Arabidopsis thaliana: one gene and its partner. The protein of the gene in region 1 purifies or fractionates together with the protein of each later gene. This does not show direct contact. Each region holds a gene or a part of one and is shown in the gene's direction. Other genes may lie near its edges.

What was found.
Region 2: the proteins of OXP1 (region 1) and AT2G47390 fractionate together in Arabidopsis thaliana (co-fractionation; one large-scale study listed by BioGRID). This does not show direct contact.

Annotation. Positions count from the first base shown.
Region 1 is NC_003076.8:15,054,219-15,064,123, reverse strand, and holds OXP1 (oxoprolinase 1), read left to right. Parts: upstream 1-3,257; 5' UTR 3,258-3,439; intron 3,440-3,588; 5' UTR 3,589-3,598; coding exon 3,599-7,086; intron 7,087-7,176; coding exon 7,177-7,489; 3' UTR 7,490-7,936; downstream 7,937-9,905. Other genes in the region: AT5G37840 (plastid movement impaired protein), read left to right, coding at 797-1,387, 1,879-1,932. UniProt on the Arabidopsis thaliana protein: Catalyzes the cleavage of 5-oxo-L-proline to form L-glutamate coupled to the hydrolysis of ATP to ADP and inorganic phosphate. Acts in the glutathione degradation pathway.
Region 2 is NC_003071.7:19,440,005-19,449,767, reverse strand, and holds AT2G47390 (Prolyl oligopeptidase family protein), read left to right. Parts: upstream 1-3,402; 5' UTR 3,403-3,514; coding exon 3,515-3,821; intron 3,822-3,923; coding exon 3,924-4,905; intron 4,906-4,999; coding exon 5,000-5,128; intron 5,129-5,244; coding exon 5,245-5,544; intron 5,545-5,647; coding exon 5,648-6,106; intron 6,107-6,215; coding exon 6,216-6,281; intron 6,282-6,481; coding exon 6,482-6,542; intron 6,543-6,632; coding exon 6,633-6,782; intron 6,783-6,883; coding exon 6,884-7,021; intron 7,022-7,120; coding exon 7,121-7,413; intron 7,414-7,489; coding exon 7,490-7,490; 3' UTR 7,491-7,776; downstream 7,777-9,763. Other genes in the region: AT2G47410 (WD40 domain-containing protein), read right to left, coding at 1-96, 307-635; CP12-1 (CP12 domain-containing protein 1), read right to left, coding at 2,505-2,879; AT2G47380 (Cytochrome c oxidase subunit Vc family protein), read right to left, coding at 7,880-8,074; AT2G47370 (Calcium-dependent phosphotriesterase superfamily protein), read left to right, coding at 9,487-9,763. UniProt on the Arabidopsis thaliana protein: Serine-type protease active in vitro against the LHCII N-terminal. Cleaves its substrate on the carboxy-side of Glu residues.

The DNA of each region.
Region 1 (9,905 bases):
TACGGAAAAAAATAAGAGGAAGGAATGAAAAGGAGCAAGAAAATTAGAGAATCGATTTAGAATAGACAATGAGACGTACAAAACTATCTAGCCTTCTAGGAGAACGGTCATGAAAGTTGCCGAACGATAGAGTAATTCAGGTTGGATTGACCTACAACTTAACAAAAAGATGATGTTAGTTGTAAGAAAACAAGTCTTTTCGGAACTGGAAGCACTTTGATGGGCGATGACGAATATCCTTTCTATATGGATAAAGTACCAATATAAAGTTTGAAACATATTTTTCATATTTCATCTGTGAAACATATTTTTCATACATATAGATGATCAAAATGTCGTAGTTTCTAAATAGATGTATGATTTTCTTACTTTTTAGGTGAGTTCCAATAGCTTCATCACAATACTTTTTTTTGTTTGGGATGAATTTCTATACTATAATAACACGGTGACCGAGTATAACTTGGATAACCGCCTAACAGAATTGAATATAACGTAACGTACGTACCTAGTCGTTAATATTAGGATAATCATGGCGACTACTGATTACTTTTTAAAATGCCTAAAAGAAAAAAGCTATGAGAAAATGTATCGCAATCGACCGACTTTTTCACGTTTATTTTTTTTCAACATAATTAGTTAATTAAATTCAACGTTAGACTTTATTAAAAAATGAGGAATCTCAGAGAATATCAAAGCTTCACACACTAATCAAAAAGCTTGAACCAAATCCTCCTCAACATATAAATAGATAGCGTTGCATGCTTTATGAGATATATTCAACAAAAAAGACAGAAAAATGGGGAACACTATAATGGTGAGGAGAAACAAGGTGAAAGTTATGAAGATCGACGGCGATATTTTCCGGCTCAAAACTCCGGTGACGGCGAGTGACGCCACGAAAGAGTATCCCGGATTCGTGCTGTTAGACTCCGAGACCGTGAAACGATTAGGAGTTCGCGCCAAACCTCTAGAGCCGAATCAAATATTAAAGCCTAATCACACATATTTTTTGGTGGACCTTCCACCGGTAGATAAGAGGAATAAGCTTCCATACCGGAGAGTTATGTCCGGTAATATACATGTTGGCGCAAAGGAGCGTTTAGAGATGTTAATGCTTTCAAGGAGAACGGTTTCTGATGTTGGTGCAGCAAGATCTGACGTAGTAGGAGATGGGCCTGAGCTTGGACATACGAGGGTGAGGTTAAGGCTGCCTAGGTCTCAGATAACAAAGTTAATGGAAGAGAGCCATGATGCTTCGGAAGTGGCAGCGAAGATTATCAGTGCTTATATGGAGAGTTCCGGTGGGATACAAGGCGGTAGGGATAACGATGGCCTTCGCCAGAGACTTGGAATTGCGGAGATAAACAACCATTACAAAGCACGAGAGGTAAATGTCCGAGAAAATTACATGATCGAAATACATTTGAAGTTATCAATCCTAAGGTCTTATATATAGCATAAGTGCATAACTAAAACAAAGGTCTTATAGCATAGCTAAATATTTGAAATTACGTTTTTTTTCCAACAACATGCATTTTATCCGATTTGAATATAAATGGTGACACATCAACAAAGAAACTATTACAAACCAATAAACTACATGCAATAGTCATGAAGACATTAATATTTATGCTACTCAATTGCCTAAAGTTTTTGGAACCAGAACGTATGATGAATTATCACTATGTATAGTATATGATCAAACATCAAATCCGCATTTAATGTACTTTGGGTTTCGTTGTTTCAAACTGTAACTCATATTTTTTTTATATTTTTTTTGCCATGAATATATTTGTGAAATGAACACGCAAACTAAAGGAGATCTCTTTGTTTGTATTTGACATTTTATAAAACGTTGTTGTTCCAAATAAAATGCAGAAGCATGTGAGTTTCGCAGAGAAAGGAGGAAGAGGAGAGATCGTTGTTCTATGAAGTACAAAGCAAGAGTAGCCAGCAATTACATATTGTCCACTACTTCAAAATGCATTTGTTAGGATTCTTATTTTTTATTTGTTTTTAGGACTCATATATTTTTATGGGCATATCTAGCTATCATCTCTACTATGATGTCAAAAACGAAATGAGACATTTACCACCAATTTTTAATCAACATTCAGAAAGTTCGAGTCAAATTTTTACTACCGCCCATGAGCTATAATTTTAACATGCGTCCACCAATGTCTCAATTAAATATGCTTAAGCTATCCAATCCCAATATATATCATAGTGTAGTAGCTAATTACGCTAACTCAATCCTAATGTATCAAACTTTATTAGGCTAATTAGATCCGGATCCAAAATTCAATCGGATATCCGGATGCGATAGATTCGAATCTGAGTAATAGTAAAAATCAAAATTGGGATATCACGGTTATTGGCCTACTTTCGCGCTAAACCCAATATCCTGATCCGGTCTAATAGATAAACATCGCACATTCACATAGTGGTGGGCTTAAAATACAGATGATGTACCTATCTACTAGGAAATTCGAGAAAAGATGGAATAGGAAAGACGTGTTTCCAAATAATCCTATGACTAACCTAGCTCAAAAATTTTAGGACAAAAAACGGAATCCGCGGGATAAAAGGGGGATGGCAGTCTCATGTCCCCCTTGCCGGTGGGGACTCTGCTCCCGGGTTGGTGCCCATGTTTCGAGAAGTTTAAGGCAAATGGTGTGCCCATGTTTTGAGAGGTTTAAGGCAACTTGTAACTATATGACATTTTAGTTTAAACATATATCCCAAACCTAGAGTGTGCCTATAAAAGAAGGAAAATTGAAATTAAAGCTTTAATTAGTCATTTTTCGTCCTTTAAAAAAGAAGAAGAGTGAAAAAGATATATGTTTTTTTGTAATTTTTTTACTTAACACTCAATTTTTTGGTTTTAACAAAATATGATTTAAAATACTAGAAAATCATTATAATTAGTGTATTTTACAATTTTATATTTTCCCAACATGTAACAAAAAAAAACGATTTTTCTTATGTGCATATTAGTATGTATGTAAAGTTTCGTAATATGGATATACACATCTGTTTTAAGAAATAATTTTAAAGTATGATATTATAGGAGATTTCATCATATAATCTAATTATATTAATTAAAAAGTAAATAAACAATAAATTTATATAGAAATGTGGCCTCTAAAATGTTAATAATTCGTTATTCAAAATCGAATATCCCGATCCGGTCCAGTAGATAACATTACACAAATTAGGCCAACACATTCATTCATACCGTGGGGTTTATGATTATATCCGTTTTAAATTCTAACCAACCAAAAACCGAAATGGTTTAGTAAAACCGGAAAAGCAAAAGAAGATCCTTCACATTCTCATCATCATCACCACCTGATTCATCTTCTTCATCATTCACCCACTACACTGTTGACTCTTCGCTAAAACTCGATCCTTCAACGATCTTCGCCACCAAAGCAAGGTACTTTCATAAATATCTGGATTTTGATTACAAACCCCTTCTCTCGTAGTTTCATTTTAATCGATACTATCTAAAATTGCTGTTATGATCTCTCAATATCGTTGTTGTGAATTGGTAATTTAGTGTAATTTCGTTGTTGGGTTATGCAGAGAGAGTGAGATGGGAACTGTAATCGAAGGAAAGCTAAGATTTTGTATAGATAGAGGAGGTACTTTCACTGATGTATACGCTGAGATTCCAGGACATTCCGATGGTCATGTGTTGAAGCTTTTATCAGTTGATCCATCGAATTACGACGATGCTCCGGTCGAAGGAATTCGGAGAATACTCGAGGAGTATACAGGGAAGAAGATACCAAGAACGTCGAAGATACCAACTGATAAGATACAGTGGATTAGAATGGGAACTACTGTGGCAACGAATGCTTTGTTAGAGAGGAAAGGTGAAAGAATAGCTTTGTGTGTAACTAAAGGGTTTAAAGATTTGTTGCAGATAGGTAATCAAGCTAGACCTGATATTTTTGATCTTACTGTTGCGAAACCGTCGAATCTTTATGAGGAGGTTATAGAGGTTGATGAAAGAGTTGTGCTTGCGTTGGAAGATGATGATGATGATGAAGGGTCGTTGATTAAAGGAGTGTCTGGGGAGTTTCTTAGAGTTGTGAAGCCGTTTGATGGAGAAGGTTTGAAACCTTTGTTGAAGGGTTTGCTTGATAAAGGGATAAGTTGTTTGGCTGTTGTTTTGATGCATTCGTATACTTATCCGAAGCATGAGATGGATGTGGAGAAGTTGGCTTTAGAGATGGGTTTTAGACATGTTTCGTTGTCTTCTGCTTTGACACCCATGGTTCGGGCTGTTCCTCGGGGTTTAACAGCTACTGTGGATGCGTATTTGACACCAGTGATTAAAGAGTACTTGTCGGGTTTTATTTCCAAATTTGATGATGATCTTGGGAAAGTGAATGTTTTATTCATGCAATCTGATGGAGGTTTAGCACCAGAAAGTAGGTTTTCAGGGCATAAGGCTGTGTTATCAGGTCCAGCAGGAGGAGTTGTTGGTTACTCACAGACACTCTTTGGTCTTGAAACTGAAAAACCGCTGATTGGATTTGATATGGGTGGTACGTCAACGGATGTTAGCCGCTATGATGGAAGTTATGAGCAAGTTATAGAAACTCAGATTGCTGGAACAATTATACAAGCGCCACAGCTTGACATAAATACCGTTGCTGCCGGTGGTGGGTCGAAACTAAAGTTTCAGTTTGGTGCTTTCCGAGTGGGACCTGATTCTGTGGGTGCTCACCCAGGTCCAGTTTGTTACCGGAAAGGAGGTGAGTTAGCAGTTACTGATGCGAATCTTGTTTTGGGGTTTGTTATTCCTGATTATTTTCCATCCATATTTGGGCCCAATGAAGATCAGCCCTTAGATGTAGCAGCAACAAGAGAAGCATTTGAAAAGCTTGCAGGACAGATTAATATATATAGAAAGAGCCAGGATCCATCTGCAAAAGACATGTCTGTGGAGGAAATAGCAATGGGTTTTGTGAGTGTTGCTAACGAGACAATGTGCCGTCCCATACGGCAACTGACAGAGATGAAGGGTCATGAAACAAAGAATCATGCACTCGCATGCTTTGGAGGTGCTGGACCGCAACATGCTTGTGCAATAGCTAGGTCTTTGGGCATGAAAGAAGTTCTTGTTCACAGATACTGTGGAATTTTGAGTGCTTATGGAATGGGTTTGGCAGATGTCATTGAAGATGCTCAAGAGCCATATTCAGCTGTTTATGGCCCTGAATCTCTTTCAGAGGTCTTTAGAAGGGAAACGGTATTGCTGAGAGAAGTGAGAGAAAAGCTCCAGGAACAGGGGTTTGGTGATGGAAATATCTCCACTGAGACATATTTGAACTTAAGATATGATGGGACAGATACAGCTATCATGGTAAAGGGTAAAAAAACTGGAGATGGGTCGGCATTTGATTATGCTGCAGAGTTTCTCAAGCTTTTCGAGCAAGAGTATGGATTTAAACTTCAAAACAGAAATCTTCTCATATGTGATGTTCGGGTTCGGGGAATTGGAGTGACTAGTATACTAAAACCACGGGCAGTTGAAGCTGCCCCTGTCACTCCTAAGGTTGAAAGGCACTACAAGGTTTACTTTGAAGGCGGATGGCATGACACACCGTTGTTCAAGTTGGAGAATTTAGGTTTTGGCCATGAGATTCTCGGCCCTGCGATCATCATGAACGGGAACAGTACAGTTATTGTAGAACCTCAGTGCAAAGCCATCATTACAAAGTATGGAAACATTAAAATTGAGGTAGAGCCAGCAACGAGCAGTGTGAAGCTTGCAGAGAATGTTGCAGATGTTGTTCAGCTATCCATATTTAATCACAGATTCATGGGTATAGCTGAGCAAATGGGAAGAACCCTGCAACGTACTTCCATATCGACAAATATCAAAGAAAGATTGGATTTTTCATGCGCCTTGTTTAGTCCTGACGGTGGCTTAGTTGCTAATGCGCCACATGTTCCAGTTCATCTGGGTGCCATGTCCAGTACAGTTCGCTGGCAGCTCAAACATTGGGGTGAAAATCTGAACGAAGGAGATGTTTTGGTAACAAATCATCCTTGCGCCGGTGGTAGCCATTTGCCTGATATAACCGTTATCACACCTGTTTTTGACAAGGGAAAGCTTGTGTTCTTTGTGGCTAGTAGAGGTCACCACGCAGAAGTAGGAGGCATAACTCCCGGAAGCATGCCTCCGTTCTCAAAGGCGATTTGGGAGGAAGGAGCTGCGATAAAAGCATTTAAAGTTGTTGAAAAAGGTGTTTTTCAGGAAGAAGGAATTGTAAAACTTCTTCAATTCCCTTCTTCTGATGAGACAACAACTAAGATTCCAGGAACCAGACGGATTCAGGACAATCTCTCGGATCTCCAAGCTCAGATAGCTGCAAACCAAAGAGGAATTTCTCTAATTAAAGAGCTGATTGAGCAATATGGCCTTGGAACTGTTCAGGCTTACATGAAATACGTTCAGCTTAACGCCGAAGAAGCAGTGAGAGAAATGCTGAAGTCTGTAGCTAATAGAGTTTCCTCGGAAACACCAAATTCCAGGGTTGGTAACTCCGTGACCATAGAAGAAGAGGATTACATGGATGATGGATCCATAATTCACTTAAAACTCACAATTGATGCCGACAAAGGAGAAGCCTCCTTTGACTTTACAGGCACAAGCCCGGAAGTCTACGGTAACTGGAATGCCCCAGAAGCAGTTACATCTGCAGCGGTTATTTACTGCCTCCGTTGTTTGGTTAATGTCGACATTCCGCTAAACCAAGGCTGCTTAGCTCCGGTTGAGATCCGCATACCCGCTGGTTCATTCCTGTCTCCAAGCGAAAAAGCAGCTGTTGTTGGAGGCAACGTTCTAACATCCCAGAGAGTTACAGATGTTGTCCTAACAGCATTCCAGGCTTGTGCTTGTTCCCAAGGATGCATGAACAATCTCACATTTGGAGACGACACATTTGGGTACTACGAGACCATTGGTGGTGGATGCGGAGCCGGACCCACATGGAACGGGACAAGCGGAGTCCAATGCCATATGACTAACACGCGGATGACTGATCCCGAGATCTTTGAGCAAAGGTGCTGAAACATCCTGTTAGTTCTGTAGCTATGAAAAAAACTGAATGGTCAGACGTACTTGCACTAGACTAACACATGGGTTTTTATCAGGTACCCGGTTCTGTTGCATAGATTTGGATTGAGAGAGAATAGTGGAGGCAATGGGTTGCATAAAGGAGGCGATGGATTGGTGAGAGAGATAGAGTTTAGAAAGCCTGTAGTGGTTAGCATCCTCTCAGAGAGAAGAGTTCACTCGCCACGTGGATTGAACGGTGGCCAAAATGGACTCCGTGGAGCAAACTATCTCATCACTAAAGACAAACGAAGAATCTATCTTGGAGGCAAGAATACGGTACACGTAGAAGCCGGTGAAATCTTACAGATTCTTACTCCAGGCGGTGGCGGATTCGGCTCCAACATATAAACAATTCATCTCCTCCTCATAAGTCTCTTCTCGAACTTCATTACTCCTTCATTTAACGTATAATCCAAATTAGTTGTTTATGTGTCTTGTTGTTGTTTCGGTGTCTCTTAGCCGGATATTCTTTGGAGGTTTGGCCATTTTCAGTGAAATAAGGATCAGATTCTTGATTCATTAGAAACAAGGTAATAAATTGTCTTGGTGAATAAGTTTTAGTTGTTGTTGTATGTACTTATGTATCACTATTGCTGGTCCAAGACTTTTGGCTGGATTTCATTGATGCCATTGTCGACATTGAAAAGAGATTTGTGTCTGCTATGATCGGTCCAACAAAACTAGTCGTCTGAAGCAACCAAAAAAAAAAGTGGCCCCTTGTATAATTTGTCGTAGTAATGTATTTTTTCCTATTTTGTGTAAATTTGAATTCTAATTAATTTTTAAAAGGAATACAAAAGAAAATAAAAGGCAAAAAAAGGGATAGAAAGATGAGAAGTTAGGTAAGATACAATTAAATGAAGGATTTTGCTTTTTTTTTGTCCACCATATTAAAGAAGGAAAATTAGAAATATGTGGCCTTCACAAACTATTTTCTAAAATAAACGATATTGTTTTAAATGAAACCATGGGCTTATGAATATTGCTCCCTAAAAGGCTAAAATCCATTATATTTATCAAAAAATATGACCTTCAATAAACTCAAAAGTTTGGTGGTCATACGCTTGAACTTGCCCGTCTATCCTACGGACGGGATCTAGTATTTGACATTTCAAATGTCACATTTGTTTACATATAAGCTTTTAACTCAAAACTAATTGAGAATGAATATAGAACATTATCTATTAATGCATAAATTACCCAACTTTTATGTTGGATTTTTTTAATATTTTAATAAATCTTCTTAAGATATGGGTGAAAAACGGTCCAATAAAAATGAATCAAGTCCATTATCTCAGAAATATTACAACAAAATGATTTACTTGTACATGTCATAGATGAAAAATCGTCTATGTGAAAAATCGTCTGTTGCGCTAATATTGGACTCTGATACCATATTAATGCTATTTTCCATTAGGGAGAGTTCAAGAGAAAACATAATATGAGAAAAGATATTTTCTTTATTCAAGTCAATGTATACATGATTAAGCTTAAATACATAGCAAACTAAACCAAAGATATTAACCAAATTAAACCATAACTAAACCAGCTATATAAACTTTAATATTCCTCCTCAAGATGAAAGGATTGGGAACGATGAACCTACATGATCAAAACTAAATTACAATGATCCTCTAGTGGTCTTGGTAATGAACATTAAAGAAATCCAAGTATGCATTGAAACTAACCAGAATGAGCCACAATAATAGATTCAATAAAACTTGGTTCTGATACCATATTAGGAATCATGGCATCCAACTCAAAAACAATTGAGAATGAGTGGAGACACCCATAAACATTATATACTAGTGTAGAAATTATCCAATTTCCCATGTGAGACTTTTCTAGCACTCTAATAGTATGAATTAGTTAAAATAAAATAAAATATGACAAAATCTTTCTTTGTCAAATCTGAGTGTTAGAAAATTAGAAAAGTTTACCCCACAAAAAGCAATGGTACAATTTCCCAATTTCTTTCTATAACAAATAAAATAAAATAAAGAAAAAATTAGACTAAAATCTTCGTTAGTATGTAGAATTACAAAGAAGAGATATTCAGCACACTACGACATATAGCAAGATTAAAATGATCTTTCTTTTGGTGGAAGTTGGTCATAATCCATAACCATTACATATTGGGAACATCTTCTTCTTTATGCTCTTCTTCATCTTCTTCAAATTTGTTGTCCAATTCGATTGGTAGAGATTTTTCTCCAAGACAAACATGATGAGCATTCATACGAGCGGGAAGGGTTTCTTATGGTTGTTGATACTTGTTAATGTTCATGAGAACCGATTCTAACAAGCCCAACAAGCCTTGCAAAATATAGGTCGGACTAGGCCTTGCTAGCATGATTAACATGCCTAAGTGTCGTTGATTTTCTATTCTTCATAGGTAGTAGAAAAGCTAGAAAATTAAAAAAGAACAAAAGAAGTATCAAAAAACCTAGATAGTAGGAGCATCTTTATTGGTTCGAATATCTTGAAATCACATAAAAGTAAAGTAAAATAATATTTTTAATCATATATATGTATATATATTATTTTAATAATTTAACTATGAATGTCATATGTTATCTAAGTCTCTATCTTATCTTCTTATTTTTCCTCTATTTAACATTTTTTTAATAAAAATATCTACTTTACATATCTTGATAATGATATAGCTGCTCTAATATACTATAGATTAATTATAAGTTTTTTTGATAAAGTAGATATTTTTCAAAAATAATTGGTAAAGTATGTAATCTTTTATATGATTTTG
Region 2 (9,763 bases), on another chromosome or scaffold:
GCATTTCCTTCAACTCTCATGTGTGAAGGGAAAGACGGGTTTAAAATTAGTTGTTTGAGAAGCTTCACCAAGTGATCCTTTTCGATATGAGGATACCTGTAAGTAAACGAAACATGATGACAGAACTTATGAAAAGAAAAAAAACTTGGGCACAATTACGGAGGTGGGAACACTCACATAAAGTAATGACATAACAAGACACATGTTGAGAGACAAGTAACAGCACATTTCAATAAGCTATGGCAAGGCTTCCATAGTAACTCAACAATGGAAGAGTGGAGTAGGAAAAAAAAAAAGAAACAGTACCTCTCTATCAAATTATCATAACTCAAGGGGAGGGAGATGCCATCATCATCAGCACGCCCGCTATAAATGCCACTTCTTGACCACCAGGAATGATATCTACGGGGTAAAAGCCCTTTTTCCAAAATTTCGTCTCTCAAGTGGCCAAAGGTTCGTTCGCAGGGGCCAATAGAAAGAAAATGTAAAATCAGGAAATAGACTTCTCTAAGGTCCATATCTAGATCAGTTAGCGAAGAATGGCTGTCATGTGGCTGAAGAGGAACATTTCCTTGAACCAGTTTTGCCAAATTCGAAGGTTCCATAAAAGGAGTAGATTTGTGTATCCAGTCCATGATAAGGAAGAGAAGCACTCGTCAAAAAAATGCCACTGCCAAAGTGAAAGACAGTCTCATCAATTAAAGCATGCACTATACTGACTCAGTTTTAGATAAATATACACAGATGACATATATAACACCAAGACCTTTCATATGAAATAGAATCGTCCACATACTTAATAGTAAACTAGGGTTCTCTTTTAAAAATTGGAATCTGATGTAACTTTATCTGTTCTTCCTACTACACAGGAAGGATCATCCAATCATTCCCCTAATTAAGCGACTGAAAGAAATCTACAAAACATCTCAAGGAATTGGATCGTAAAAAAGCATTGAGACACAATCTTAAATGCGATTTCAAAGAGTTATTCCCAAATCAAAAAACCCTAAGATCCAATTACATAGAAAAACACACATCACACATGAAAAATGAAAATCAAGTAAAACTGGCAAATTCGGGAGCTAGAAAAGACAAGGGAATCAAGAGAAAACCTCGAAGAAGCTAGGGTTTAGTTAGGTCAACAAAAATACAGCTTGCTACTCAGCAGTTGAGATGGGTGGCTAGAGAAAGGAATCTCGAGTAGACGATTTTTCAAGGACGAAACCAGAGAGACGGAGCAGCGAATTCGAATGGTTCTTAGGTCACAGAAACGAGAGAAGAAGAGTAGCAACAACGTTACATTCTGCGAATTGTGTGCGCGTCTCCTGGTCCTGGTTAGACATCGGCCAGGTCGAGCGAACAAGGAAGAACGAAACAACAAGACCACTGACTCTTCTTTTTCTTTTTTTCTTACCGCTGTGAGATTTTTCTGGAAAATCTGGAAAATACAAATTTGAGAATAGGAAACAACAATACGTAAGAGTTTTAATAAGCAAAAAAAAAAATCTTATGTGTGAGAAGACAGATACACCCCTTACTTGTTGTTGCATTTTCTTAAACCGCGTGAGAATTATAGGGGTATAATTGACTCTTTAGCGGCTGGGCCGACAAATAGATCGGCTTAATTTTTGTTGTTTTCTTACAAATTCATATATAACCTTTTTACCTTCAGATTTTAACTGGTGATACCGTGCCGATGCATTTTTCTTGTTAAAATCTACTTTTCTGAACCGCCAAAAATATATATAAGTGAACGAATTCAAATTTGCAAAATAACACAGAAGAGCATCAAACAAGCACACTCGTATCATTTACTTTAGATTAATCAATTTAATGCTAGAAGATAAACGATTTTGAATTCATTCACTTAACTTCACAAATTTTGTTATCAAACAATAAAATTGTATACATTTCAGGTGTTTTTTTTTTTGTCAAATTATTTAGTTCACTTATTCCTTAATATATTTACTGTTTCTCATCACCTTGAGGCTGGCCACAAACTGGTTCTATTCTATATGTCAAATTTGTACATCGGCCCATGCTTGATAAAGCCCATTACACTGCATCAACATAATTACATGGGCTTGTTTGTTGTTACCCATCTTGTTGAAACCAAAGATTAATTCCCATACCAGCAAGGCAGCAATTTTAAAACCGTCTAAGAAACTCTCGATCAATTCATCTTTCTCTCGGCTCAACGTCGTTTTGACACATACATCTCCACATCCACAAAAAAATAATAAGGAACGTATGCGAGTGACCTAAGATCATCTCAGCCTCATCTAAACTTAATTGAGTTTTTTATTATCAATTTCACGAAACTGCAAATGTAATCGAACCAAACACATTATGAAACATATGTTGTGTATTGTACTATTCATATTCATTTATCACATTACAATCATCAACCAAACCAAAAACACAAACATAACAACAAGGGACAAGAAGAACAAACATTGATCCATACCTAAAGTTTCATAATTCGAACATCAAAAACATATTTTTTAATTATCATAAGTACGACACTCATCAGTCTCAGGATTATCATTGCAATACTCTTCCAAAGGATCGGAGCCACCAGCTTTCTTCTTGTCCCTAGCATGACTCGCCGCCGCACTCAGCTCCTCCACCTCGTCCCAAGCCGCTACACACTCCCCGCTCACCGGATCATCAGCGCATGTCTCCTTAGCTTCTTGTATACTCTTCTCCACCTTCTCCGATATCTCTCCTTCCGATGTAGCCTTAACCACAACCATCCGCTTCATCGAACCGAATTTCCACGGGTAATTCAACCGGACCGGACCTAATACACGAGCCACAGGTCGAACGACCACTCGTGGAGTCGCGACGTTGAGGCCAGCTGCAGCTATGGTTGTCATCGTCGGAGGATTTTGATGGAGGAGAAAAGTTTTTTGATGTGAAGAGATGAAGAAGATAAAATATACTCGTTCACGTTATTAAACTCTGTGAACACAATCCTCTTATCTTCTAAGAACCAAGCATATTTTGCCACGTGTACTTAGATTTTTTCACAAAAAGTAGTATTCTACCAATTTGAGAAACATAAGTTTTTCCCCGGAATATTTATTTTATCAGCCGTTGAACATTTTTTCTTGAAAATTATAGAAGCTTTTTTTTTAATTTTTGACTGAAATAATAAAAATTTGTTATCATTTTCTCTTCTGTAATTTTCATAGACATAAACTTCTCATGAAAAGTAGCATAATAAATTAATAATTACTATATTTTTGAGTATTTCATTTTGTTGAGAAAAAGGGGGAGGACGACTGACTTATAATGGGCCATATTCCAGGAAATAAGCGCTAGTTGGGCCATAGATAAGGCCCACATAAGCAGTGACCACTACCGATATTTTTCCTGATATTTTTTGTTTTCCTGGTTAAAAATACATACAGATACAGTCGTCGTTTTGATTAGTGAACCGTCGAATAGAAAAAGAGAGAATCATTCAGAGCACTTTAAAAAGGTTAAAAAAGTCAAGTATTAAAAAAAGATGATGCGCTTTCATAAAGCTTGTCATCGTTTCTCTCTTTCACCTCTCTGCCATTTATCTCCGCCGTCTCCGTCACCGGCTTCTTCTCTCCTTCTACTTCCCAAGCTTTCCGGATTCTCGACTCTGAGTACACGACGTTGCGTAAGAGTTCGCCGATTCTCCGAAAACCCGTTGACCACTGTCATGGCTTCACGTTCTGCTTCTAGGCTTCGTTCTCTCGCATCTGCCTGTTCTGGAGGTGCTGAAGACGGTGGTGGAACCTCTAATGGCTCCCTATCAGCCTCTGCTACTGCAACTGAAGATGATGGTAACTTGGATTTGAATATTTTTGTGTATAGAGTTACTTGTCACTGGAATTGAAATCTGAGAAATCGTTTTTGATTGTTTGTTTGTGTGTTGAACTATGTAGAATTGGCTATAGGCACTGGATATCGTCTGCCTCCACCTGAGATCAGAGATATTGTAGATGCTCCACCAGTCCCGGCTTTATCATTTTCACCACATAGGGATAAGATATTGTTTCTCAAGCGGAGAGCATTGCCTCCGCTCGCAGATTTAGCTAGACCAGAGGAGAAGCTTGCTGGTGTTCGAATTGATGGATACTGCAATACCAGAAGCAGAATGTCATTCTATACTGGTTTAGGAATCCATCAGTTATTGCCTGATGGTACATTGAGTCCTGAGAAGGAGATCACTGGCATTCCAGATGGTGGTAAGATTAACTTTGTTACATGGTCCAATGACGGTAAGCATCTGGCTTTCAGCATCCGGGTCGATGAGAACGGAAATAGTAGTAAGCCAGTGGTATGGGTAGCTGATGTTGAGACTGGAGTAGCTAGACCATTGTTTAACTCGCAAGATATTTTTCTGAATGCGATTTTTGAGAGTTTTGTTTGGATTGATAATTCCACTTTGTTGGTGAGCACAATCCCTTCATCTCGTGGAGAACCACCAAAGAAACCTTTGGTGCCATCTGGTCCCAAAACTCTGTCAAACGAGACGAAGACTGTTGTCCAAGTTAGAACATTCCAAGATTTGCTTAAGGATGAGTATGATGCTGATTTATTTGACTACTACGCTTCATCACAACTAGTATTGGCTTCTTTGGATGGTACTGTGAAGGAAGTAGGGGTTCCTGCAGTGTATACATCGTTAGACCCTTCGACAGACCATAAGTACTTGTTGGTGTCATCACTTCACAGGCCATATTCCTTCATTGTACCTTGTGGTAGATTTCCAAAGAAGGTGGAAGTCTGGACAACTGATGGTAGATTTGTAAGACAGCTATGTGACTTGCCCTTGGCTGAAGATATCCCCATTGCCTCCAATAGTGTGCGGAAAGGAATGCGTTCAATAAACTGGCGAGCAGACAAGCCTTCAACCCTCTACTGGTATATATTTGAGATTCAAAGTGAATCACATGTAGTACACGTGCCAAAATGGGATTTGGAAGTAATTAATTTACAACTCTTCTGAGATATGTAGGGCAGAAACACAAGATGGAGGTGATGCCAAAATGGAAGTTTCACCGCGTGATATAGTTTATATGCAGTCTGCTGAACCATTGGCAGGAGAAGAACCAGAAGTGTTACACAAGCTCGATCTTCGTTATGGGTAACAACTAAAAACACAGCAGATATTGTAGATTACTTATGCCATCTTATCAACAAACTGACTAACTTCATCAAAGCCTTCTATGTCCTAACATTGATCCGATTTCAATTCTGCAGAGGGATTTCTTGGTGTGATGATACATTAGCTCTGGTTTATGAATCATGGTATAAAACACGACGAACAAGGACGTGGGTTATCTCTCCTGGATCTAACGATGTCAGTCCACGCATCTTGTTTGATAGATCATCGGAAGATGTGTACTCAGACCCTGGCTCAACCATGCTGAGAAGGACCGATGCTGGAACGTATGTAATAGCAAAGATAAAGAAGGAAAATGATGAAGGCACTTATGTATTACTGAACGGAAGTGGGGCTACACCACAAGGGAATGTGCCCTTCCTTGACTTGTTTGACATGTAAGCCCAACCTGACAATGATTTCTCTTTCTTTTGCTTCTCTTTTTGTTTTTATTGCCATTAAGCGATAACAAACTGAATGTTCTGTACAAAATTTATCTAGAAATACAGGCAACAAAGAACGAATCTGGGAGAGCGACAAGGAAAAGTATTTCGAGACAGTTGTTGCCTTGATGTCTGACCAAAAAGAAGGGGATTTAAAAATGGAGGAGCTGAAAATTCTGACATCAAAGGAGTCTAAAACAGAAAACACCCAATATTCTCTCCAACTTTGGCCTGATAGGAAAGTGCAACAGATTACAAACTTTCCTCATCCGTATCCGCAATTGGCTTCGTTACAGAAAGAGATGATCAGGTATCAACGGAAAGACGGGGTTCAACTTACTGCAACACTATACCTACCACCAGGCTATGATCCATCAAAAGACGGTCCTCTTCCTTGTCTGTTTTGGTCTTATCCTGGTGAATTCAAGAGTAAAGATGCTGCTGGTCAAGTCCGTGGCTCGCCAAATGAATTTGCAGGCATTGGATCAACTTCTGCCCTTCTTTGGCTTGCTAGAAGGTTTAGCATTGATACTGTTTTTTGCTGTTTCAGTGTGCCGGGGTCTATATCACTGAGCTTGTTGATCGAGTGTTAGCTTATACCATCTGGATTTGTCTGCACTGTGCAGGTTTGCTATATTATCTGGACCTACTATACCTATAATTGGTGAAGGTGATGAAGAGGCTAATGATAGGTAAAGTGATATTTACTTTCGTAAAGCTTGTTGCTAGAACATAGAAACCAGTGATATCGTCTTGGTTAAAGATTTCCTTCCTATAAGCATAAGCAAACTAATTAAGTGGGAACTTGTGACATCAAACCATGTAAGTTTCAGATCTGAGATGTGCTTGAGCTTGACAGATTCTAATGTGAACAACTGAAAAAAAAAATCAGGTATGTAGAGCAACTGGTGGCAAGTGCCGAAGCTGCTGTAGAGGAAGTCGTCAGGCGTGGAGTAAGCATTGCTTTATCCTAAATCCATCACCTCGGTATTGTATGAAACCCAACAGTTTTGAAACTTACTATTGTTTGTTCTTTTTTCAAGGTGGCTGATCGAAGCAAAATTGCAGTTGGGGGACACTCCTATGGAGCTTTTATGACTGCAAATCTTCTTGCTCATGCTCCTCATCTTTTCGCCTGCGGGATTGCCAGATCTGGGGCTTACAACAGAACACTCACGCCCTTTGGTTTCCAGGTGCCAAGACCAATTGTCTTTCTCCTCTCATTCTCTGCATTTTGATAGTTAATTTACTTCGCTTTTTTGGTTATTCTTTAACTATGCCTGTAAATTTTCAGAACGAGGACCGAACTCTGTGGGAAGCCACTAACGTCTATGTAGAGATGAGCCCATTCATGTCTGCTAATAAAATCAAGAAGCCAATCTTACTTATTCATGGTGAAGAAGACAATAACCCAGGAACTCTAACAATGCAGGTTACTTCATTGATATCACTTGAAAGGATTGGTTCACACCAAGTTATCACTGGATTGGTTCTCTCTAACTGTATTCATTTCACTTACTTTGTATAACAGTCAGACCGATTCTTCAATGCACTAAAAGGCCACGGCGCTCTTTGCCGTCTTGTTGTTCTTCCTCACGAGAGCCACGGGTACTCAGCACGGGAAAGCATTATGCACGTTCTCTGGGAAACTGACCGTTGGCTTCAAAAATACTGTGTTCCAAACACATCAGATGCAGATACAAGTCCCGACCAGTCCAAAGAAGGGTCAGATTCTGCAGACAAAGTATCCACAGGCACAGGTGGTGGTAATCCGGAGTTTGGTGAGCATGAAGTTCACTCCAAGCTCAGGAGATCACTTCTCTGGTAAACTCTCTCACCACCATTCCCAAACAGAAAACAAAACCACAAGAATTCTCACATTTGATTATACTTTTTTCAGAGTTCCCAAAAGTGGTTCACTAGCCACATGCAGCATGCGAGTGCACTTGCAGAAACAGAGAGCACAAAAAAAGGCAGATGCAACACAAACTTATTTTTCATACAAAACATTGATTCATAATAATATGAAAAAAAGTTTTTGAATTACTTGAAATGCTGGAAACACTCTTTCAAGTGCAAAACTTCGATCAATAAGTTTCATAAATATTCACCTTTTGTAATTTCTCGAAACAAAACAAAAGAGATTATGTCTGAATGAACATCACATCTGAATTTGTTACAAATCCCATTCTCAGATTTGTTTATTTCTTAAGAACCCAACAAAAAAAAGAAAAAAAAGACAGAAATGGAAATCAAACAATCTTCAGGAACCAGTTATTGAGCGGCTTAATTACTCTTCAGCAGCTACAACACTGATCTCACCTCTCTCAAGCAAGTCATAGAAAGTTCTGGTTTTCCTCTGTTCGTTCCAATGGTGCATCTTCCAAAGACCACCAGCAGCTAAACCGAGTGCCAAACCGATAAATAACTCCTTGACAACGCTAGGCCCTTTCAATGTCGCATGTGCAACCTTGTGTCCTGCCATCTCTTCTTTCTTCTTCTCAACCTACCAAAAGTAACAAATGTAACTCACTACCAACTCGAAAGATTGGATCTTTTTTGCATCAAGCATAACCACAAATCAGAAATGTATTGATACTACATATATACAAGCATGACCCGTTATAAAGAATAACCCCAAAAACCCAACATGAATCAGTCCTAACAAACAAAAGCTAGAAATGTAATGACCATATAAACCTGTGCTTAAGATATGAACTCCATCTATATACTGCCAATGGATTTTCCTATCTTGAGGCAATTAGTGATTTGTATGACTGGAAGATCGAAAAACTTACAATTCAATATCAATGACATAAACTAGCAATCTACAGCCCAATCTATAAATTGACATCCTTCAATCGATTAAAAAAAAAAAAAAAAAACAGCCTAATATCCAGAATCCGCATAACGAAAGTTTAAAAATCTTCCCTCGAACGAAAATGATAAACGTTCATTACTACAAAACCATAAAGCTTGAAATTCTTTCCCACAAGAGAAATCAGATAGAGGAACGATGGATCCCGATCCATGAGATCGACGCAATAAGAAGAAGGGGCATTGATGCGAATCGGTTAAATCAAAAATCACTCGTTAATTTCTATCTAGAAGAACAATCGAAACAAACTAGCAAATCTAGAAATCAAAAGAAAAGGAGAGAGAGAGATGAGTCTGGGGATTTACCAAGTCGGAGTGTGGAGGTGTAGACGACGACCGGAACGAATGAAGACGAGGATTCAGGTGTGCGCAAGAGATTAATCAATTTAATTTAGTCACTCTCATGGATCATACATTTTCTCTGTCAACCTATTGGGCTAACATCTGAGACCGGCCCATTACTGTTCAACTCCAGTCAATTTTGTCTAAAAATAATAATATCATCAAAATTTCAAAACACCTAACATTTGATGCGACCCAAAGAAAGCAAAACCACAAATTATTATATTGACAGAAATTAATTCTAATAAATAAGAAAACACGATACAACTATATTAAAAAAAAACGTGTCAAATTGAATATTTTCTCAACTGTATGAAGTAAATGGCCCAAATGATATTTTCAGCTCACCTAATATATAACCAACTTGTGAATTTAAAGCTTCAACGGAAATAGTATAGGGCATTAAATTGGTAAAAAGGTACAAACATGAAACAACAGTAATCAAAAATACAAAATGTAACTATTCGTATTGAATTCTGGACACAGATTCTGGGCCCAATGATACATTCAACGGGCCGCCAAAACTAGTGCAAGGTTGTATGTGCATCTAAGTAAGTGGGCCCCATATTTTCCAAATGTTCGCTCACCAACCAAACTCTCTCTGTATCTATTCCACACTTTCTTAAGGTGGTCTTCCTCGCACCCAATTTATTACTCTCTATAACTGTCTTTTTCAAAATGTCGCCGTCCTGCTGCTCCGGCAAATACTCCGTCGCTCTCTTCTTCTTCATTCTCTCCGCCGTTCCAATAGCTTATATTATCTCTTCAGAGAAAGCTGTTCCTTCCACGCACGTCATCTCTTACCACAGCTCCGGCTTCCTCCGCGAGTGCGCCAAATGGGACGACGTTGGTCGGAGATTCCTCGTTTCCTACATGGACGGCGGCGGCGGTATCGGCGAGCTTGTTCCTACTAAAGATTCCGACGACGTTCTTAAGGAAGTCACTTTGGTCAAAG